Linked DNA regions of Schizosaccharomyces pombe. Changing the gene in region 1 together with any one later gene gives a genetic interaction. Each region holds a gene or a part of one and is shown in the gene's direction. Other genes may lie near its edges.

What was found. A genetic interaction does not mean that the proteins touch.
Region 2: mutations in mtg1 (region 1) and cti6 together harm fitness more than expected from each alone (negative genetic interaction), as found in Schizosaccharomyces pombe (one large-scale study listed by BioGRID).
Region 3: mutations in mtg1 (region 1) and nup131 together harm fitness more than expected from each alone (negative genetic interaction), as found in Schizosaccharomyces pombe (one large-scale study listed by BioGRID).

The regions. Positions count from the first base shown.
Region 1 is NC_003423.3:2,602,533-2,609,130, reverse strand, and holds mtg1 (GTPase Mtg1), read left to right. Parts: upstream 1-3,399; coding exon 3,400-4,018; exon of another isoform or gene 4,019-4,027; intron 4,028-4,109; coding exon 4,110-4,477; 3' UTR 4,478-4,544; downstream 4,545-6,598. Other genes in the region: mitochondrial microtubule binder Mmb1, read left to right, coding at 1-93; BTB/POZ family ubiquitin-type ligase substrate adaptor Btb2, read left to right, coding at 761-823, 1,026-1,817; rRNA-processing protein Mis3, read right to left, coding at 2,178-3,161; SPOM_SPBC25B2.03 (zf-C3HC4 type zinc finger), read right to left, coding at 4,904-6,418. UniProt on the Schizosaccharomyces pombe protein: Mitochondrial GTPase involved in assembly of the large ribosomal subunit. Plays a role in expression of the mitochondrial translational machinery.
Region 2 is NC_003423.3:510,475-517,992, forward strand, and holds cti6 (Rpd3L histone deacetylase complex PHD finger subunit Cti6), read left to right. Parts: upstream 1-3,680; 5' UTR 3,681-3,741; coding exon 3,742-4,079; intron 4,080-4,249; coding exon 4,250-4,453; intron 4,454-4,497; coding exon 4,498-5,230; 3' UTR 5,231-5,479; downstream 5,480-7,518. Other genes in the region: poly(A) polymerase Cid11, read left to right, coding at 1-510; vacuolar amino acid transmembrane transporter Avt5, read right to left, coding at 730-1,992; rps29 (40S ribosomal protein uS14), read left to right, coding at 5,968-6,029, 6,081-6,180, 6,253-6,261; rps27 (40S ribosomal protein eS27), read left to right, coding at 6,870-6,875, 6,914-7,006, 7,211-7,363. UniProt on the Schizosaccharomyces pombe protein: Could be a component of the RPD3C(L) histone deacetylase complex (HDAC).
Region 3 is NC_003423.3:970,983-980,529, reverse strand, and holds nup131 (nucleoporin, WD repeat Nup131), read left to right. Parts: upstream 1-3,683; 5' UTR 3,684-3,897; coding exon 3,898-5,358; intron 5,359-5,392; coding exon 5,393-5,486; intron 5,487-5,527; coding exon 5,528-5,913; exon of another isoform or gene 5,914-5,952; coding exon 5,953-6,307; exon of another isoform or gene 6,308-6,348; coding exon 6,349-7,481; 3' UTR 7,482-7,508; downstream 7,509-9,547. Other genes in the region: TRAMP complex zinc knuckle subunit Air1, read left to right, coding at 1-171, 221-322, 378-1,001; ilv1 (acetolactate synthase catalytic subunit), read right to left, coding at 1,412-3,421; serine/threonine protein kinase (CK1 family) Cki2, read left to right, coding at 8,082-8,207, 8,260-8,329, 8,397-8,545, 8,611-9,547. UniProt on the Schizosaccharomyces pombe protein: Functions as a component of the nuclear pore complex (NPC).

The DNA.
Region 1 (6,598 bases):
GATCCTTCTTATCTTCAAAACCAAACTTCCGAAATTAACGATACTAATCACTCTTCTCATTCGTCACCTTTGGACCTTAACAGAATGATATAAAAGTTGAGTGAGCTGCTGTAATTTGATGGCTTCTGTTCCATTTACACTTATTATTCTGCATAATTTATATCACATGTAGATGTTTTATCATAAGGATATTATTATTAAAAATAAGACAAACCATACGGGAAGAATTGGATGTTACGATTTGATATATTACTTTGTATTACTTAAGATCAGCTAATTAATAGCTTTTAAGCTGAAATTATGTTGCATAGGTTTATTCAGTTGAAAGCTTCACGACTGACTTGATGATAGTCGAGAAGTTTAGAGGGATGCGCTCTGTGTTAAAATTCAGCATGCAGCAACATCAGCATACAACCGATATGTAATAAATTAACATTAACAAACTGGCATTGTTTTCGTGCTCTATCAACTATCAGCAGTAAGTAATTGAAGACATTATGAAGTAAATGAGATTGCTGCATTACTAATTCATTTAGCAAAAAATTAAGTAAATAGAAGGGTTAATTTGTGCAACTTGTACGGTATATTTTGGATAGCGCAATTACGTTACGATTCATAACTGCAAGAATATCGAGCTACTCCAGTGCGCTTTCCTTAGGAAACCAAAACAATATTTTAGTACCTTTTTTTTAAATATTACTGACGAGTTTCATTCTGATTTCTTTTTATTACTCCTAACGGATGTGGCTTTAATACAATCATGTCAATGAACAGCTCAACGGAAATTTCTCAAGAGCCCTCTATAATGAAACCGGTATCTTCAGTAAGTATTTTTGCTATTTGAACTTCTGCGTACCTTGAGTCTCAGTTCTTGTATGAACTTTACTCTCAAATTAATGGTTGTTTGCGTAGTTAATTATTTTGGATTTATTGTTAAATCGTTCATGTTTTGTTTAACGATTTCCAAACAAAAAAAGTCTGAATATTTTACCTCTCCTTCAAAGAGTTTGTCTAACCCTAGCTAGATTTCAAGTTTCGTATTTAATGCAGGATTTTTACAGGGAACTTTCTCTGACACTACTCTCATTATAAAAGGTGAAACATATCATTTGCATGCCCTTTTTCTTGGCAGATCACCTGTTCTTCTACAAAAGCTTATTGAAAATAATCCCAAAGGTGATGTACATTATACCATAGAAGTAGAGACAGAGGATCCCTATGTTACTAAGGAATCCTGTTTGTTTGTGCTTTCTACATTGTATTGCGATTCCCCAAGAATCCCTGCTGAGGTGAATGTTTGTTCTGTTTTAGCGGTTAGTGATCTTCTTGGGTTAGACACGTTGGCTTTCGAAGCATCCTCACTCATAGAAAAGTCGATTAGGCCAGAAACTATGGAATCTGTGATAAGATTTCTTGACCCTAACTTTGAAGGTCTTGAGCGTCTTAAGATGGGCATGTATCCAAGATTCACTTCTGGACTTTTCAACAAGGCTATTCAGGTAATGTATAATACTCTCGTAAGCAATTGGAATACTGAATACGCTCGTTTACTCTGTAATCTTCCTTTTGAAGTTATAAAGGATTTGCTTGAAAGTGACAAGTTAACAGTGGGCGCTAGCAGTATGGCCAGGTACAAACTTGCAAATGAAATTGTTAAGATGCGAGCTTCATTTCGAAAACAAAATCACATCGAAGGAAAAGGCGATGAAAGTGTTGTATTAGCTTTTGATGAAGGAAGTCGCGGTATTCAACTTGTTCACATAGCTCCAGGTGCTGAATCAAGACGAAAAATATGGAAGGCGACTTCTGTTAGATAAAAAACTGTTATGCGTTGAGCTTCCCTTATTCAAAAAATAAAAAAAGCGAAAACACTCAAATTGATATATGAACAATAAATGTTCTTTTAATTTTAATTACTGTAATAAGAATAAAAGAATAAGCTTGAGTTGCAATTGTACTGTAACGTATTTGTTGTTTATTATATATAGCTTGAAAGCCTAAAAACTACGGAGTTTGAACAAATTAGAATTCTTGTAAATAAGTTACTACTCGCATTCCAACAATGCAACCAAGCATACCAAGAAGCATGAAGGAACGATAGCAAACTAAATATATTCTGCAAAAACAAATATTATTTTCCAATACTAAACCAATCCAATATAAACCCGGTACTCGTTCTAATCCCTTTTACGCTTTTTAGAGGACTCTTCAGGAGGAATAAAAGCCTTCATTCTTTCTTTCTCTTTCTCTTTCTTCTTTTCTTTCTGTTGTTCCTTTTTTTCCGCACGTTTTTTCCTTTCCTTTTCCTCCTTCTTCAAGAAATATTCACCACTTTCAATCTCAAGGTCAAGTTTACTAGGAGGTTGAGCAGGAGGAAAGGGAGTGTACTCTTTAGTCTCCCTGATTTTCGCAGGTTTACGACGAGCAACATTACGCTTCTTAAATTGAGGTAAAAATCTATCCCAGGATTCGTTAGCCAGAGTTGGATCTTTCGCCAACTCTCGCTTTATCATCAATTCTTTAATATGATAAATGGGATGAATATTATGCATACAATCTTCGACGATTCGACGAACTTCTTTTAAACCTTTGTATCCTCCCATAACGGCGACAGTTGTTCCTTGCACCAAAATGTAGCATTGTGTTAATAATTCCAATGCCTTCAAAGTTTGACCGTTAGTACCGATTAACCGTTGGCGACGTTTGACAAACCGTTCTTTATTGCGAAGAATATTTCCTATTTTAATAATGTCACATGCAACGCCGTCCTGCATAATCTTGACTGCCTGAGGAAATGGAACGCTTCTCGCAAGCAACTTAATTAAATCCCTAGCATCTAAAATGGAATATGGATCAAATGTTTTTCTTGTAGTTTTTACAGTCATACTTCCTTCAACCAAATCGAGAACACATGTAATGCCAAACTTATCCAATGCTCTAGTGACATGTGGCCAAACTTCACGCAAATATTTTTCTCTATACTTTGGAAACAAAGTAGCGAAGCTTGATTCTTCTAAAAATGATTCTTTACTATCATCTTTAGTAAAGGGTTCAATTTTCCAATGGTCGATATCATCAGTATCCCATGGCTTGTCCCGTCTATATCGCTTATTTTTATTCACAATAACATTATTTTCAGTAGAACTTTCTACTTCAGTCATTTTTTGATGAAATATTTAATTACTGGGACTGAATTAAAGAAGTTCTTAATTTTTAATGTGAGTTGAAGTGGGAAACTTTTTTAAACACTACCACCTAAGAATACTTGTCTCAACAAAATGACTTAACTTTTTTTATTTCACCTAAAAAGCTTATGAGATTATAACCATTAATTTTGGATAGCTTAAAGATTTTTAAAACTAAAACATTCACCAGCTATAGCGGCAAACCGATAATTCCATGGCCTTTGTAGCAAGACAAACATTTGAATATCAGATGCCTTCAACTTGGTATCCTGGTCATATGAATAAGACTCTTAAGAGATTAAAAAACTTAACATCTTCAAATGATATATTTGTTGAAGTGAGAGACGCGAGAATTCCTTTAACATCAAGAAATTACGTTATGGAAGACTTTCTTAATAAAAAGAACAGGATAATTGTCTACAACAAATGTGATTTAGCTGACACATTTCATACCAAGGCAAAAGTATCAAAACACCGAATTCAGAATCTTGCACAACAATTTCAAAATGTTGAATGTTGGTTCAAAGAAACTTCAACGCCAGAAAAATCTGCTTTTATCACTCCTTACGTTTCCAAAGCCCCCTATTTTGCTAAGGAACTCCTAAGACTAATTCGGACGTTGGTTGATCAAGCGTCCGCTAACGGGAGAGTCTATGTCTATTTTGTAGGTATGCCTAATACTGGCAAAAGTAGCATATTAAACTCTTTAAGAAATGTAGCTTTACGGAAATCGAAATCTGCTATAGTTGGGAATTATCCTGGTGTTACAAAGCGAATAAGCGAAATTGTCCGATTGTTTAATGATATGGATGTTTATATGTTGGATACTCCAGGTAAATGCTATTGAGTTTGAGTTTAATTTTCAATTTTTTACAAGTTTGAAAGGCTTTTAATATTATCGAAAGTATCTACTAACTGCTTTAGGAATTATGACACCTTCTATAACTAAGCCGGAAGATATGTTAAAGCTATCTTTAGTAGGATGTGTCAAAGAAGGAATTGTGCATCCTGTGACAGTTGTTGACTACTTGCTTTTTCATTTAAATAGAATTGACCCTAGTCTTTATTCCAAGTGGTCATTACCGACAAATGATGTGGATGAATTTTTACAAAACACTGCCTACAAAGCTCGTAAACTAACTAAGGGTGGCTTCGACGAGAATTTTGTTTCTAACTATGTAATTCAACAATATCGCATTGGGAGACTTGGTCGTTTCCAGTTGGATACTATTGATAAAAATGAATTGCTAATACGTTTACATAATGAGCAAAATAAGAAGAACGCCAAATAATTCTGCAACAATAATAAAAATCAAATAAAATTGATAACGCTAAATCAAATACTAAACCAAATAATTATGATGCATCAAGAACTAGTAAAGCTTTCATCAATAATTTAAATAATCGGAACCCAAACCCATTTCGGTTTAAACAAACCAACCAAAAATAATAGAATTACACACATACAGTAGATTCACATCGCCTCTGATTGCCTAACTACTTTCTGTAAAAATATAAGCTCACTTCCAAAACAATCAGTTTTTTTAAAAAAAAAAGGTTTTGAATATCTTTTCTAAGACAAGCATTAAACCAAAAATATATTTAAAAATTCATGACTTCTCAAATAATTTAGAAATTAGGGGCATTAAAAAAAGAAACAAGTAAACGACAACAAAAACTTCAACTGCCTTTTGACTAAAACTAATAAGTCATAACACTTAATGACCTCTTTCGAGTTCATTGCTTTTAAGCTGATGCTCATAAACAGAAGGAAATGAGCTTTGCGTTTTGTTTGTAGCCGTAACACCATCATCACTGACACTGAGAGCCGGAGAGCAAATGTGCGCATTCAAATCGACCGTTTCAGAGCGAGCGAACTGGTCAGCTAAAAAAGGGTTCGTCGAGGCAATGGGGCTATGGATAAGCTCATCTAGGTCTTGCTGCTCGATATATTCATCAACATTATGAACCCGAGTCTCGTCAGCAGCAACAGATGGCGAAGACTCTTGAAAATTGGTTTGTGTCATGGTTTGGTGAACAAACTGCGGTAGAGAATCACTATTCACTTCTTGTGTCTCGTTTTCGTTACCGGTATCAATAGATGATGATGCAGTAATAGCAGATTCAACAGAATCTGGACGATTTATTTCCTCAACTAAAGCAACGTTTGTAGTGTGAGTGGGTTGTGGTTGAACAATTTCTTGCTCATTTGATATATTGGTTGAATCTGGTTGTGATACTTCAGTTGAAGGAAGTGAATTAGTTGAGTCGTTGGATTGGGCATCCAACAAACTCTGTCTAATAGCTTCTGCAAGCATAAGTTGCTCAACATTAGCAAGATAATGTTGACGACGACTGGATAAAGTACGTCTCGGACCACCATGAGACGTGGGATCATGAGATAGATCAGTATTATGATTTGCATTTGCATTTGCCGGACCTGTTTCCAGCAAATGGGAATTAAGTAAAGTAGCATTAGCAGCTCTTCGCAAGGCACGACGGCGGGCCCTCTCTAACTTGTATTGCCAGTCCGGATGAATGAAATCAGTGCTGACAACATTTTTATCATCATGCGCGAATTTAATATGTTGATTAGGAGGCCACGGAATGTGATGTAGAGGCAGAGAAGACTTCGACAAAGTACCCATCGGAGCTATATTACTAGGTAGAGTATCTGGGTTATTATTAAATGAAAAGGGGGTTAACTTGGGGTTTGGCTTGTATATGACTCCAAACCGCTCAGTCATGCAATATGGGCATTTAGCAGGTTCCGAAATCAGATCAAACTCGTTAGGAGTAGGCTCGTTAGCATGTACAGTAGGTAAATGTGGTTCTGCTCGTCGAATTTCAACAAAGCATTCAGAACAGATGGGTTGAGCACAACAGCGAGTATAGTTAAAATTACTAGGATAATACAAAAAACAAATGGGACATTCCATAGCATTAGCATAGATAGTCGTTATAGCTGTAGTGCGATAATCAGCGGAAATACTACCAGGAGTAGAATTGGATCTATTCCGGGTGAGGAGGTGGTCAGATGAGCCTCGAGAATCACGCTTAAGGGATCTGGTATTTCCAACAGAAAGACTGCGAGATTGACGGATTGCGCAATGAAGGAGTGCCGATTTATGAGGACCAAGGGCTTTTTCGACAACTTCCACGACTTTGTCAGCAGGCCAATCTTTGCTATAGGAGTCCAATCCTTTATAGAAAGGCATAAGCCGACGTTCCAACTAAAACATGTTAGCAAAGAAAACACAAAAACTTTTCAAACAAAACTGAAATAAATTAAGATTTACTAGCATGTAACTTCGATAGTTCATTAGAAAATACAAAATCCAAAAAAAAAAATTTTACTTTTGAAAAAAATGGTTGATTAGAAACAAAAGTAAACACATTTTTTAGAAATTGCA
Region 2 (7,518 bases), 2.1 Mb from region 1:
TGTGTCGAAGAGCCTTTCAATACTGCTCGAAACCTTGCAAATACTGCTGACAATCCTAGCGTCAAAGGACTTCAGAGTGAATTTCAGCGGGCATTTCGACTTATGAGTGAGAATAATGCATGCGAAAGGTTGTGTAAAATATGCGAAGAATATCAATTCCTAGATATTACCAATGAGGCAAATTATGGGAACACGAATACTCCTTTCAATACCGCCTATGAATCATTTGGTTGCAATCATACTGTTTTACCTGAAGCTGCTGCATATCCAAAACCTTATTATCCTCCTCAAATTACCCTATCCGATGGAGGAAATATGAACTTTCTCTACTACATACCGGATGAAAGTAACCATCAAAGCTATGAAAACAAAGCGAACAGAGATTCGGACTTCCAGGGCCAGACCTCGTTGACACAAGGTTCAGCTCCTCCATGGCACTATATTCCATGTCAATCCTGGTTAGTATGGTACCCATCTGAAGATGCATCAAATCCTGCGTCCGGAAATTAATTCAAGCAATGCACCAAGGAAGTAAAAGCAAAATCCGAGAATGTTTCCTAATGGTTAAGACATAACGAACAAGTAATTATGAACAAGAAAAAGAAAAAAAAAATTAAAGAGAAATAGCGTTTAGTATTTAATGGAATTTGAATAATATTTTCGAGCGAAGTGCTAAACGCATAATTAAGAAATAAATAAATAAATTGGAAAAAGATTGCCAAAGTAAAATTAATGAGATAACTTTGCAATATTAATATTTAAGCACAAAATCATAACAACTGTGCCATAAATAGCCAGTCCAGCAGCGAAGGCCCTGGAAATTCGTAACTGTAGAGGGCTGCTATTACCTGGGGAGGCAACTTTATGAGAGAAAAAATAATACAAAGATCCAGGAAGAATAAATGAAATAAAAGTACTACCGGTACTTCCAACAAAAGCTAAGACCATTTCAAGAGAAGACAGCAAAAGAGCCAGAGAGTGAGTAAATAACAATATGCATAATGTTATTACGGCATGATAACCATCACTCATATCATGAGCAGAATAAGAGCGACGTATAGCTTGGTAAACAGAGTTTCTGCATGGATGGCATTGAAGGGGATAACTAAAAAGGACTAGTACAACAATAGCGAGCTTTCCACCAATAATCCAAATACTGGTATTATCGTACATTGCGATAATATTACCTGATGCCAGAGATCCAAATGAAAGATATCCCGTAATAGCCACAAGCAAGTACAAAAGCGTAGAAGAAATAATAGCAGTAAACATAGTAAAATTGACGAACCCTTGAGAGAAATTTCTGACCTCATTTATTACACTGAAAGCATTTTGATGGCAAGTGAAACCGAAAACGAAAACGGGCAAAACAGATAAATAGCCAAAGCCAGACTCAGGAACAAAGTAGCGGATTTCTCCTTTTACAGTATCCCCGATGATAAAATGATACAAAACAATAAACACAAGGTAACAAAGAGCTATAAGGCTGATCACAGACGTATGCCGTAAAGAATCCAACCTCTTAAGAAACGAGAGTGGAGTAAGCACGAAAAGCGCAAAGACAATCCATGTTTGGCGCCTAAGGAACATTGGAGAAGAGAGACCAAGTGATGGAGCAATTTGGGGCATTAAATCGCCTACAATAACCAAATAGCTTACCGCTACACCGAAGCATTTAACAGCAATAGAAGCGTCAAAGACAACAGCCAAAGAGGGAAAGGTGTGCTTGGCAACAGCAGCAAATGAAGCCTTTCCCCTCGGGAGTCGTGCGGCGCATTGGGAAACAAAATATAATCCTAAAAAAGAAGCGAATGCACTAAAGACGATGGTCAAACACCCAAACAACAGACCAGTCTTGGTAAACGCATTTGGTAAGGAAAGAATTCCAGCTCCCAAAATAGTATTGGCAAGGTTGATAACCGAAGAAAAGAACCCAGCTTTTCCAATATGGACGTCTGCTGGTCCAGAAGACAAAGGACTATACCCAGACATAAATTAACCCAAACTAGGAATAGAGAAAAAATCTAGGAAGCTATAAAATTGGTGTTTTTAGGAACCAACTTTACGAATTACAATTAAGTACTAAGCGTATGAGTATGCAAACTGATCGATTTTTTGGAAGAATCGTTCAAGAAAGTTATTTTAAAAGAAAATAAGAACTATGCAATATAAAAAAAATGGTTCTAAACAAATAATAGAACGTGGAATAAAAAACGCCTGAGAAATCGTAGAATAGAAATCAGCAGACAAAAAGAGACCAGCTCGATAAATTAAATTGTAGAATCTATTCAGAAGCCCGATAAATAATAGGAAAAATTATAGTACACGATGTATTAAAGCACCTTCCCAGCTGTACGAGTGGAATGCTCGTTCTTGGTTGTTAAAAGAGATGAAATTACGATATACAGATGCGATATCGCTCTACTCTGGTTTGCCAGCAGATATAAAAGCAATGAAATATTATTTCTTTTCTTACTATTACTAAAAAAATTGTTAATATTTATCACTATCATCTCAATTAATGAGTGACATGAGAAATTTATACCAAAATAGATATTTGTGGCACACGAATATTTTACCAACTTGAACACAGTATTAGCAGTAAATTAGAGAATTTTGTAAATTCTGTAGAAATAAAACGAATTTTTCATAGACATATATTTATATCAATAGAGCATTCGAAGTGGTGGAAGAGCATACAATTGATTTTTTCATCGAATAAATTTCAATAAAAAGAGAAAATTTAGAATTATAACAATTTCTCACTGTCAAACGTTGATCACAAGGATATAAATAGTTTTTTATTTTATTTCATAAGTATCTAGTCAGTTGAATATAGTATCGAAGAAAAATACAATCAAATTTCATTGTTTTGTTCATGAATTCCCGGTGAACCGAGTAGCAGTTGCTTTTCTGACATTGCGAGGAAAAAGCCTTTTTTAAAATGTAAGATGTTTTTTAGTTTCAAAATATGCACATACGCCATTCTAAAGATTGCAGGAACATCGTAAAATGCGAATACATGGAGATAATACCAAATATCATGTCGATATTACAAAACCTCTTTTAATTTATAAAAGCAGCAGCACCTTACAGAAATGATTTCACAACCTTCATAATACAGCTTATAATAATATGCATTCCCAAATCAAGTCAATTCTCATTTCAATAATAATTAGTACAGAGAGATAGCATAAAAAGTGGGTCAAACAAACCATACGTTTAATTATATGAAGTTTGAGATGAACATATAAGTTTCTTAATCTAATTCAACAGTGCTAAAGCTTTAGGAGACTTAAATAACCATTCCCAGACAAACCAGGTTCTCCGATGGTCAAGGGCAAATCAACGGGCAAAATGGGCCTATAAAAAAATGAAAGGTGTTAAACTGTTTATGTTTACAAAGATAATTGGGTTTTTATCAATTTTTTTTAATTAACTATCATTTCAATGCATTGGCAGTCTCCCTCTGGGCTTGAATCCTAGAATCCAACGTTTTTGCCATTCAACTATTTAACTATTACCAAAGTGCCATTACGACTTTGACCAAAAACATTCAATCACTAAATGAATATAAAAAAACAAATTTCCCATACATTAATTACTTAAAGCGTGAAGTTTCAGCAATTCGCGATATATTTCATTGATGTTGTAGTTGGTAAATGTATTACCTATCTTCCAATCCTTCACCATTCCCCAAGCGCACAGCACAATTTTTTAATAAAACGATTATTATACATTATGCCGAGTAATTCAACTCCCGCTAATGAAGAAAAAGAGGAAGAGTCTGAAAAAATTCAGAAATCTCCCGTAGACACACCCCACACGCCTAATGGCTCAGTTTCCGATAATGAAGAGAATGAAACATCGAGTACTGGAGAAGTAACCCGCTGTGTTTGTGGAATTGTCGAATCCGACGATGAAGCTAGTGACGGGGGGCTGTATATTCAGTGCGATCAATGCTCAGTTTGGCAACATGGGAACTGTGTGGGATTTGCTGATGAATCAGAAGTTCCCGAGGTATATTATTGCGAAATATGCCATCCAGAATTCCATAAAGTATATCAAAGGGGCAGAGGGTAAGTGTTGATAACAGATGAGCTTAAGGATTTAAAATGGATTTACCACTGAATACCTAATGCTTTAAACTAATTGCAGTGGTTTCCAAATATCTCCATTTTATTCTTTTTTCTCTTCTAGCAATTAAAAAAATTGGGTTTTTCAACTATTGTTACTAACTTCGCCGCAGGGCTAAACAATCAAAGTATCTTGGAAATGGAAAACCTATAGAAGCCAGTCAAACAGAAGAATCTTCATCTACTCCCCCATCTCCGGCAACCAAAAAGTCGTCTAAGCAACGTCTTACTATGAATTCCAGAGACGCCGCTCTTGATTATGAAGAGTATCTTGCAATTGCTAAGGAAAAGTCACTAATACCGAGGAGATCTAGAGGGTATGGTCATTGATATTCATAGATGATATACTAACTGTTTTTAGGCGAACTTCATCGAAGTCTCTTTCTCCACCAGCTCCCCAAGATGAATCGCAAGGAACCGAAATAAATTTAAAACAAAAAATTGAAGAAGAGAATGATGAAATTTTAGAAGATAGTAAGGAGTCGAAGGACGAAAACGAAGAGAATAAAGAAACCTCTACTACTAATGTCGCTGAAACGGATGCCCCTGAAGAAGAAACTGTAGATACGGTTGAGGAGATTGCTGATGAAGAAAAGCACTCAGTAAAAGAGGAGTCTGGAGAAGCATCCCCTCAAAGCTCACAACAATCTACCATTACTTCTATTTCGACCACTACTCGGTCAACGCGAAAAGCTAAACGTGAAGCAGCGGCAGAAGACAAAGCGGATCTTCCAGCAGCTGTCGCACCGAAGCCTTCAAAAACAAGAAAGGTGGGAGGAAGAAGAGGAAAATCTAGTTCGAACGATAATCACCGAATTCCTCAATTACATCCGGATGGAACGTTCGTAGAGACCATAACCAAGCCTAAGGGATTGCACTCAAGAATCACTATGACTGAGATGCGGCGAAGAGTTGCCTCTATGCTAGAGTATATTGGACATATTCAAGTTGAAATGGCAGCTCAGTCTGCTGGTAATCAATCATCCACAAAGTCATCGAAAGAAGGCCCAGAAGAAGAGAAGGAAACTCTTAGGATGGTAGACAATCTCACCAGGGATTTATTGCATTGGGAACAACGATTCAGTCGAACTTGATGATGCTGTGTACTGTGTGAATTTACATCAGTAATATTAAAAAAAAGAAGCAAAGGAAGAAAAAAGGAGAAAGATGTGTTCAATTGAACATGTCAACATACATATATTTTTACTTTTTTATGATCTAATGGTTTCCTTTGTTGATTTATGATAGATATTTTGATAAAGATTTAGAGTTCCTTTGATGAGAGGGATATAATTTTTGTTTGGTTAATTGAAGAAATATAATTTATTATTATTTACAGGTTAAACTTTTGTATATTTTTTGAAATGAGCTATGTTTTTCGAGTACACCGATTTCCAAGTGAATGAGTAAAAACGTTCAAAAGTACTCACTAATTTAATAAATACAAGAGGTTTTGAAACTAAAAAAAAAAAAAAAAATCAAACGTAGAAAACACCACAATAACTACTTTCTGAAGGAAAATCCATCTTTCATTAAGTGCCTATTAAACCAGCTACAATATAATGTTATATAAGGCTTGGTACTGGAGAGGAAAAAAATAAATCCTGATTATTCCATCAATTGAACAAATATTTTAACTAAGTGTCTAATGAAAACAATTTCTACTTAAAAAATAGTACTATACATACTTTATTTACATTGTTGAGCACAATGTCAAATAACGAAATGCATTGTATTTCTCTATATTAGCCCTACCCTATGCCTAGAAGAGCAGTCACGACTTTCGTCTAGTAGAAGAAACGCTTGAAACAATCTCTACCTTCACACCAAAATGGCCCACGAAAACGTTTGGTTCTCTCACCCTCGCAAGTACGGAAAGGGCAGCAGACAATGGTAAGCAAGCATCTTTTTTATACACGAGTGATGTATTAATTCATAATTTAGCGCTCACACTGGTCGTCGTCTCGGTTTAATCCGCAAGTACGGTTTGAACATCTCTCGTCAAAGTTTCCGTGAGTACGCCAACGACATTGGTTTCGTTAAGGTAAGAGAATTTTGCTGTAACTTTCTTTTAAGTTTGCAACATCTGTTTCCGACAGCATATTAACTAGTTTAGTACCGTTAAACATGAGGCTATTCATATACTGAATCAAAACCGATTTGTGTGAAATATCATTTTGTGATGCTTTTGGCATTATAAAATATTTTGAATTTGTAAGGTTGAGCATTGTAAGTAGCTATTGAATTTGTAAACAGTTGCAATTTGAGCATGTAAAAAAAGCGTAACTTGGTATGAAAGCAGTGTATTTATTTTCATATGATTGTGGATTGCGAATTGTTATTCGCATAATTAATTTGTAGCTGATTGTGCGTGTGATTACTGGTAATTAAAGTGTTTTCTGGCTGAAATGTTTATTTGGGCGGTGCTGAAGCACCAAGAATATAAAGAGGGGAGTAAAGCATAGAATTGTTGCACAAGCCTGAAATGCTAAAAAAAACTAAATTAATATAAAATGTGTCAAATGAGTACAAGGGCATGCTAATCTACAACCTTTCATTCCCTAAATAAAATATATTTTCCTTGCATTTGTAATTTTAATGGCATAACGTTACTTTAAAGTGCTGCACTATTTACGAGTAACAACAAAAGCTTTGGTGTGACTGCTTTTTGAAGATAGACAAGAAACCCTGCACACACATCTCAGCTTCTACCCCGAGCAATTCACTAACAAGATGGTGGTATGTTATAAATCATCAGAAAAACACTAACAAAGTAGTTGGCAGTTGATCTCTTAAATCCCAGTCATGAATCCGAGATGCGCAAGCACAAGCTGAAGCAGCTTGTTCAAGGCCCTCGCAGTTTCTTCATGGTAAGTTTTCTTGAAAATTTTTCTCCAACAATAGTTTGCTTTCCAAATGCCAAATGTTTAAAAGAATGAAACCTTATTCTAATTCTGTACTTTCGAGAATAAACTGTTAATATTTTTCAATTTGTTGAAAGTGGCAACATGGTGGCAATAGGGAAAAATTAGAATGGTTTGAACTCAAAGACTCATTGCTAACTATTTTTTTAGGATGTCAAGTGCCCTGGATGCTTCAACATCACCACAGTTTTCTCTCATGCTCAAACCGTTGTTATTTGCGGTTCTTGTGCCTCTGTCCTTTGCCAACCTACTGGTGGTAAGGCTCGTCTTATGGAGGGATGCTCTTTCAGAAGAAAGAACTAAAAGGTCTTGTTCATATCTTGCATGTCTTGATTATTGAATAAAATTTTGTTCTAGGCATGTGGATGATATAAAATTAGATGTTTTTTTAGAAATCCTGTTATTGTTAGAGTGTAAAAATAGTCTGTATATTCAGTAAATGGAAAGTTTAAAGAACA
Region 3 (9,547 bases), 1.6 Mb from region 1:
ATCGACGATGCGGCCTTGTTACAAAAAATTAATTCTTTACCGATTGACCAGAGTATCACAAATTCGGTGAGCTTGGAAAAGCATGATTTTCAAGGAAGTGATGACCATGACTCCTCTACGGATCTTTCCGATAGTACTTTGGAAGATGTGGAAGGAAGTGAATGGGCAGACGTATGGATTGAAAAGTTTTTTTTTAATACTTTTTACTAATAAAATTTAGGTGAGCAGGGGTAGATACTTCGGGTCAGATCCCTCAGAAAGTATAGTTTGCCATAATTGTAAAGGGAATGGTCACATATCTAAAGATTGTCCTCATGTTCTGGTATGCATTTTGATCGGACATTGTTTTTTTAATAGTGTTACTAACTGTATTACAGTGTACGACTTGTGGAGCAATTGATGATCATATTTCCGTAAGATGCCCCTGGACTAAGAAGTGCATGAATTGTGGACTACTGGGTCATATAGCTGCGCGATGTTCGGAGCCGCGAAAAAGAGGACCTAGAGTTTGTCGGACTTGTCATACCGATACTCATACTAGTTCGACGTGTCCTTTAATTTGGAGGTATTATGTCGAAAAAGAACATCCTGTTCGCATTGATGTTTCTGAGGTTCGAAAGTTTTGTTATAATTGTGCATCTGATGAACATTTTGGAGACGACTGTACTCTTCCATCTAGATCAAATTATCCTGAAAGCACTGCATTTTGTGAAGCGAACTGTCCTTCTGGAAATGATGCATCTAACAAGGAGTTTTTTGAAACCCGTCGTAAAGAGTTTCAATTGGAGAGGCGAGAGCAGAATCGAAATCAAAAATCGTCGAAACAACGGCCTTTTCACAAACCAGGAAATTCTCTAGCATCTAGGCTGGGATCTAAGCCAAAAAGCTTTAAAAGAAAACATAGCCCACCTTCTGAGGAGAATGGCAATTTATCCTTTCATTCTTCAGATGGAAGAAAATTTACCAAAACTTCAAAAAAAAATCGTAAACGAAAATGGTAATTCATGTGCTGGTATTATTCATCGCATGGTGTATCGCTCTGCTCACATTGCATTGCACTCATTGATAATACTATCTTACTAAAATTTATTGGCAAAATCTAAAATATATGTACATTAATTTTATACACTCTCATTTGCTATGTTCGCAAAATTTGTAATGTTATTGACCTCCATCATCAAAATTAAATACAAGCTATGATAACGGAGTAAACCATAGTTAGAAAGCAAAACAAAAAAAAACAACCAAAATCGAAGATAACAAGGCAAAACAAACAAATTTGCTTTAGGGTAAATAATGACAAACCGCCCACCAGAGTCTAAAAGAATGTGACACGATAATTAACGCAAGTTTAAATAAGTGTTACATCTGACTCTTACAAAATAGCTGTTTTTAAATTAATCAAAAAAATTTATGAAAGGCTTTCATGCAAAATAAATTGGTGAAGAGCCTTACCACCAGGGACAAATGGATACACATGTTCCTTTTGGGCAACCAAAACTTCCATAAGCACAGGACCTTTAGTTGACAAAAACTCCTTCATTTTTTTAGCCAAATCTTCTCTCTTTTCTACACGTAGTGCTTTGATGCCCATAGCGTCAGCCAACTTAACGAAGTTGGGATTCTTTTGATGAGTATGAGAATAGCGTTTCTCATAAAACAAGTTTTGCCATTGAGTGACCATGCCTTGCTCTTCATTATTTAGGATAAGAATTTTAACTGGGATATCAAATTGACGGACGGTAGCAAGTTCCATACCAGTCATTGAAAATGAAGCATCACCATCAATATCTATAACAATATCTTTAGGTGCAGCAACGCTAGCACCTATGGCAGCTGGGAGACCAAATCCCATAGTACCGAGACCACCGGAGGTTACCAAAGAACTAGGTTTTGTCCAACGATAGAATGTAGCGGCCCACATTTGATGTGCACCGACACCGGTGGTAATAGTGACTTTGTCCTTTATGTCAGAAGTTTGTTTGTCAAGTTCTTGAATGACTTCTTGAGGCTTTACCAATTCACCAGGAGCGCTACGAGTGAAAGTGAAAGGGAAGCGTTCCTTCCATGTTTGAATTTGAGATAACCAGTCAAATCGGGAAGGAATTTTAATATTTTTAGTAGCAGAATCTAAAAGCTTTAGAGATTCGTATACATCGCCCTCTATTGCTTCAGTAGGTTGTACGACCTTACCGATATTTTTGGGTGAAATATCAAAGTGAATAATACCGCCACGCTCTTCGGCAGCAGCAAGACGTGCTTGAGGAGCAAACAAACTTACGTTACCGGTGACACGGTCGTCAAAGCGAACACCAAGAGCAAGGATAAGATCGGCTTCCTGCATGGCCATATTAGCGTATCCACTACCATGCATACCGAGCATATGCAAACTAAGGTCAGAACGTTCATCTACAGCACCAAGTCCAAGCAAAGAAGTAGTAACAGGAATTTGCAGCCTTTCGCTAAACTTGCGTAACAAAGTGGGGCATTCGGGATTAGCTAAAACACCATGCCCACAGAAAATCACAGGCTTCTTGGCTAATTTTAGTAAATTGGCAACACGATCGATCTTGGCAGTAACGTTCTTGGAGCCCTCTTCTAAGACTTCCTTCATTCTGCGATTCATTGATGGTACAGAAGACAGTATAGGAATGGGCTCCTTCAAAACGCTAGCAGTGACATCTTTGGGAAGGTCAACCAATACAGGGCCAGGGCGTCCAGAAGTAGCTATCTCAAAAGCTTCGTCTATACGACGGGGAAGATCAGCAACATCTTTGACCATTACATTCCATTTAGTACATGAACGAGAAATACCAACCATGTCAGCTTCTTGAAATGCATCACTACCAATTGCGCTGGTTGCTACTTGACCAGAGAATACAACTAGGGGAGTACCGTCGGCCAATGCATCAGCAATCGGGGTAATCACATTCGTAGCACCGGGTCCAGAAGTAACCAATACAACGCCGGGTTTTTTAGTAACGCGGGAATAAGCTTGGGCTGCATGTCCAGCAGCTTGCTCGTGTCTTGGCAAGATAAATTCAAAATGAGGAGATCTATAAATTGCATCGAAGACAGGCAAGATAGCACCACCTGGATAACCAAATACATGCTTAACATTATGCTTGAGCATCATATCATGGAAAATTTCACCCCCAGTCTTTCCAACAAACGAGCTGTCATATTTTATAGGACTAGCCGTAGTCACTGTAGAGGTGCTTTTGGTCGAATTTGCCCGAACGACACCGAATGCATTTTTTAATTTTTTAATTCTCAAATTATTACTAAAGCCGGTGCCATACCTCCGCACAGCTGAGCAACTATTTAAATTTAAAAATCTCTTTTGAAGGGCAATTTCTCGTCCATAAGACGAGAAAGCCGCCCTCGTATGCAATCTTCTAAGGGGAGCCAGCACAGTCATTATAAATAACTTTTAACCCTCAATTCCTTTCTAGAAAGAGCTATCTTTCAAGTTGCAAAAGATCGGTATGCTGAGCGGTATGAGAAGTGAGCAGGTTCATTTTTGCCTAAAAACATTGGTTGTTCACCACCACAAAAAAGATCAGATTTGTTAACGATAAGTACTGTACCCCGGAGATTAAATATACCGATGCATAATACTATACCCTTTGAAGTCGTGTTATTATTCTTTAAAAAGTTCAGATGATGTAGGAATACAATTTATCTATTTATCCATGTCTCCTTAATTTTTTAAACATTAGTAAATGCTGGAAAACGTCAAATAAATTTTTCTTGATCCTAAATTATAAGTTTCCTATCGATTCAGCTTAGAAAATCGTCAGAATTATCTTTGAGCATAATCTGTTTAACACGTAAGAGATCTTAGATACTTTCGCTTTTTTAAACATTAGTGAGCCTCTTATTAGAGGAATTGCAATGTTTATTGTACATCGACGGTTTTTTCAAAATGAAAAAGCTTTTACGCCTGCAGGAAAACATGAAAAAGTTGCCGACGGAAACAAACATGAGACATTAGCTACTTCAGAATACCCGAAAGTCTGTGCATCAAATGACTTGTACAAAATACTCCAAATATCTGCTCCTAAGGTTGGCAATTTTACAATCCATGATGCGCCAGTTGTTGGACTAATTGACTCTATTTTGGAATATTATTTGTATATTAGTGTCAAAGTTCGAAAGGCATGGATTGCTGGTTATGGAAGTCAGCCCCAAAACTTAATATGCTTTGATTGGGAACGTTTTACGGGTATTCTAGATCAGCAGAGTCTAAATAGCCCACCGTTAGCTGGATTTGTTAAGCCAGATCCAACATCAGCAGAGCCTGGCTTTTTACTTTTGTGGCCTGCTTCGGGCGACCTTTTCTACTGGGAAAGAACTTCTTTGATGAACGTTGAGGTTTCTGCTCCCGAATTTCCTGGTTTTCTTCATTACAGGATTCAACTAAAACGATATGAAAGCTGTAAAAATTTGGTTAGTGCTGAGCCTGCTGGCTTTTTCCTTACTCTGAGTTCAGGTCGGTTGCTTCATCTGAATTTAAAAGATAGCGATGGCAATTCCTCTATTCAGGTTCGAATCCTATTTCCTGGATTGCACATCCCCAACTGCTTGCTGTCGTTATACAACAGTATCTTTGCATTTACTTCAGGAAGAGTTATTCCAATACGTTGTGGTTCAATAAAAGGACCTGGTGAGAGATTAGTTTATTCTATGCATTCTGGAAGCACATTGCGAATTTGGGAAATATTCGGGACTGGTGATCACCACTTGTTACGTGGTTTTGACATTTATGATATAATTTTAGATAGTATTCAGGAATCCTTTTCCTACGTAAATCGATTTCTAATCCTTGATTTTTCTGTTTCAACCTCGGATCCTTATACGTTAGCTTGTTTGGTTTCCTGGCGTGATAATGCTTCATTATTCAATTATGCTGCAATCATTATTTCTTTCAACCATCAGATGATACCTCATGTTTCACAATTCTGCCATGTACGCTCATATCTTTCTGCAATTCTTCCATCAGTGTGTCGAATATTTTTACCAAGTCCAGGTACAGTTGTTTTTTGCGTCTTCGATGTCACTTTTGCTATGTTTCATAAAGTGCGAGGGAAAGAAGGCACTTTTTATGTCGAAGAAAACCTGGTTGTGAACAACCTAACTTCCAAATCTCGGGTTTTGGATTTTGGCATGGAAGATGCGATATATGAAAAATCTACGCACACCTTACTAAAAACTCCAGCATTGATCTTGTTAACAGAAGGGCATGGTATAATCCGAATTGAATCTTCTGCTAGCTACCTGAAAACCAGCTTTAGTGCAACCACCTATTTACGAAGTCGTCTCTCCCAGTTTGCATCGCAAAGCCCTTTGTTCCGTGTAAGTTGTTAATTCTTTCGTATCTAACATATAGGAACAATTTTTGTTAAATTTTGACTTTACATACAACCTCTCTGAAAGCGAAGTCTATAATACAGTCTTTAATCTTTGTGATGAACTTTATACGAGTAAGATAATTTTTTCATGATATATTACTAATTGCAATCAGCGCCATGTAAAAAAAATATGTCTGTATTAGAAACACTACATTCTCAGCAACGTGACTTGATGGAAATAGTTCTTGTTGCCTTCAAATACCTACATTTATCTCCTTCTAATAGACTTCAATTATGGCTAAAAGTTGCCTATTGCAGTGCTTTGGCAGACCTATATGAATTATTGATGTGTAATGAAAAAATGTCTAACTTGCTTCGACGAGTATTGAAAATAATGTCTTCAAATGATAATATTGATGAACTTTTTTTGAAAAAGTGCCTGAATATAAATTTGTTATTACAGCATTTAAGCTCGGAATATTCTCAAATATCTGGCCAAGATGCTAGCAACGCACAAAAAAGAATTGAAGTAATAGTAAATGTTAATAACGTTTATGGGGTATGTTTCTTATAAAATAACGAGGTTTACTAATATTAGACTATCTTTGGAAATGAGCTTGCTTATAGGCAAGAAAAAATATCAAAATTTACTGATCCATCCTCTGTGATTAGAAGCGACCTTTGGACAGTTGAAGTTGATCACTTAGATTTACTACGAAAACAGATCGAAGATTCGATATCATTGCATCGCGATGTACGTGACTCGAAAGATGCACACATATTAAAAGTCAGTAACAAGCTTCGGAAGCAGATTTTGCATCTGGTGGAACAAAATTGCCTTTTGATCTTTGATTTGCACAATGGAACAGATGATACCATAGTAAAATCGCATAATTTTCAAAAATTTGAAGAAGAATTTGGCAATTCACGAAAAGAATGGTTACAATATTTAGGTAAGCTGTTTCTCACTTTCTTGTTTCCGCTAACAAAGAAGCTTCTGTCGGATATTTGGAAAAGGCAATCGACTTGGCGGAAAAAGTTAAAGACTTTCAGACAATGGTAATTTTGCTGGATTGTCTAGATCCAAAGGATCCTACCATTAAGCTTCAAAAGCAAAAAGCATGCTTAAATAAATACAAAGAAGAATTCGCAGATGTAATTTTTTTTTATTTGGTTGATACAGAGCAGTATGCGTCTTTGCTTCATGATTTCTTGGAGTATCAATCACTTTTAATATCTTTTTTTGAAGCCAATGATTTATTGAATCTTTTGTGGATATTTGAAGCTCAAAATGGAAATTATGGACGAGCCTCCGAAATTCTTTTCCGTGATTGTGAACCAGAAGAAAACAGGATTATCGGTAAAATTTCGCAGTTAGCTCTAGCAAAGCTCTACTCATGGACTAATAGAATTGAAGGTGAAAATATCATATTGTCAAATGAGACTGAGGTGATTGAAAATCATTTAGCCATTTTGCTTATTCAAGAGCAATATGCTGAAATGCTTTCATCACTTGTGGATATTACAGAAGACGAGGGAGAAGCTGTCGAAGCAATAGTAACTTCCAATTGTGTAAATCTATCAGAAAACTCTATCAGAGCCTGGCTCGTGTCTAGTGCTGTTGAGCGATTAATTCAAAACGAATACACTACGCTTTGTGAGATGGTAGATTTCTTTTCTTCTTTTTCATTACGGGAATGTTCATTCAAAGAAGTTGATTTGGCCTTAGAGTTATTAGAAAGAGCTACAATCACTAAGGACGTGTATTTTTACTTAAAAGATCTCGTATATCGCCGTTTTCTATTACAGGTGAACTGGGCAGAAATCATCGATGCGCATGAAGATTTAGAATCTTCATTTTTTCCAATGGTAAAGGAAATTATGTTAGAATCAGACTTTTTAATATGGTTACAACATATGGAACACAATATTCACGACGAAAGTAAACATTACTTGAAATCGGAAAAAAATTTTTTGCAAAGTGTATATTCTTCACTTTCTGAGTCGCAAGTGGAAGATTATCAAATGGAGCTTTTTCGTGAAAAGCAAATTTTCTCAGTACTATGTAAAGATAGAGAGTTATACATTCTGATTCCGAAACTTCTGGACGTAGCAACAAAACAATGAAATGAAATTTTGCTATATATTACTTTACATTTCCTCAGTAATCGATAAACACCTGTTTAAACCTAGTACTACTTATGTTTGTATAATCTATCGTATAGCCTCAGCTCCGACAACTCCGTTTTTACGATGGTAGATGCTAGATAATCACTGGTTAGAATATTTACGGCTTAAAATAATTAAATTTTTTTATTATAGATTCTTGATTTATTATGATGATTGCGCCTTCGGGGCTTTTTCCCTGTCCTGGATAGCCTCACCCTTACGTTGGAAATTAAGCTAAGGCCTAGTGTGTTGCATCCAAGTACACCTTACAACTAACGTCCACTAAAACACTCAAACCACATAATCATTTGTTAGTCGAAAGAAAGCCTGTAACTTCTATTAAATTATAGTAATTGGTTTTCTAAATTTTGTTGTTTTTGGTCGGCTACTGAATCGCAATTGGACTTCAATCTCTGTGGTGAATGCAGTGAAAACAAACTGAGATTTGTGTGGCATTTGTTAGTGAGGCTACAAATTGACTACATAAAAACTGCATAGTCCTTGCAATAAAAAAAATTTTATCTGTTCGGTCAATTCCTTGTGACAGGGTTATTTATCATGAATTCCCAAACGAGCGTAGTAGGGGTTCACTATCGCGTGGGTCGTAAAATAGGTGAGGGATCGTTTGGTGTTATTTTCGATGGGATGAATCTTTTGAATAACCAACTTATTGCTATAAAATTTGTATGTTCTTTGTTAGGATGAGTATATGGACAATACTAACAATGGACGTTAGGAACCCAAAAAGTCGGAGGCACCTCAGCTCCGTGATGAATACAGAACTTATAAATTACTAGTTGGAAATGGTATGTTTTTATTTTGCTACCCAAAACATATGGTCAAGACTTTGGTACTAACCGTATTTGCAAATAGCTGGCATTCCTAATGTTTACTATTTCGGGCAGGAAGGACTACATAATATCCTTGTTATTGATTTACTGGGACCTAGTTTAGAGGACCTATTTGAATGGTGCGGTCGTCGATTCAGTGTCAAAACGGTGGCTATGACGGCGAAACAGATGGTAAGTTTCCTAAGTTGTTCCTATAAGGTTTTCAATTTGTTTAAATTTTCTCTGACATTTCAAAGCTTTCCAGAGTTCAGACGATTCATGAAAAAAACCTTGTTTATAGAGACATCAAACCCGATAATTTCCTAATAGGCCGACCTTCCTCTCGAAATGCAAACATGGTATATATGGTTGATTTTGGTATGGCCAAATATTACCGTGATCCCAAAACCAAGCAACATATACCATATAGTGAACGTAAAAGCCTCTCGGGGACTGCGAGATATATGAGTATAAACACGCATCTTGGACGTGAACAATCCCGTCGCGATGACTTAGAATCGTTGGGACACGTCTTTATGTATTTTTTGAGGGGAAGTTTACCTTGGCAAGGATTGAAAGCTGCCAACAATAAGCACAAATACGAAAAGATTAGTGAAAAGAAGCAATCTACCTCCATTAGTGAGCTTTGTGCTGGATTTCCTAATGAATTCAGTAAATACATGACTTATGTGCGTTCGTTAGAATTTGATGAAGAACCGGATTATGCGTTTTTACAAGAGTTATTTGATGATGTACTTCGAGCAAATGGTGATACGAATGATGGGGTTTATGATTGGATGTTATTGAATGACGGTAAAGGTTGGGAGTCAAGCTCTTCTCATTTTTCTGTTGTTGCTATGAAGCGACGAAAGAATTACCTTGGCTTAAATGTTGTTCAAAATGATGATTCCAGAAAAAAGAACAGTACTTTGCAAACACAGAACATGCGATTTAAATCCTCATATGGGGTGAGAGGTCCTAGAAATTACTCATCGTTCGATGCGTTGCCGAGCAAAAACGCTCCATTGGTGCGTCAAGAACAGTCTGCTTCTAAAAAAACAATTTATGCTCATTCTTCTAGAGGTTACGATAGGGTTCGACCTATGTATGTATCTCAGCCCTCGAATAATGCAGTCGGAGTAAATCATCCTAACGATAATTCTGATTCGGAAGCAAAAGGAGGATTTTTTGATA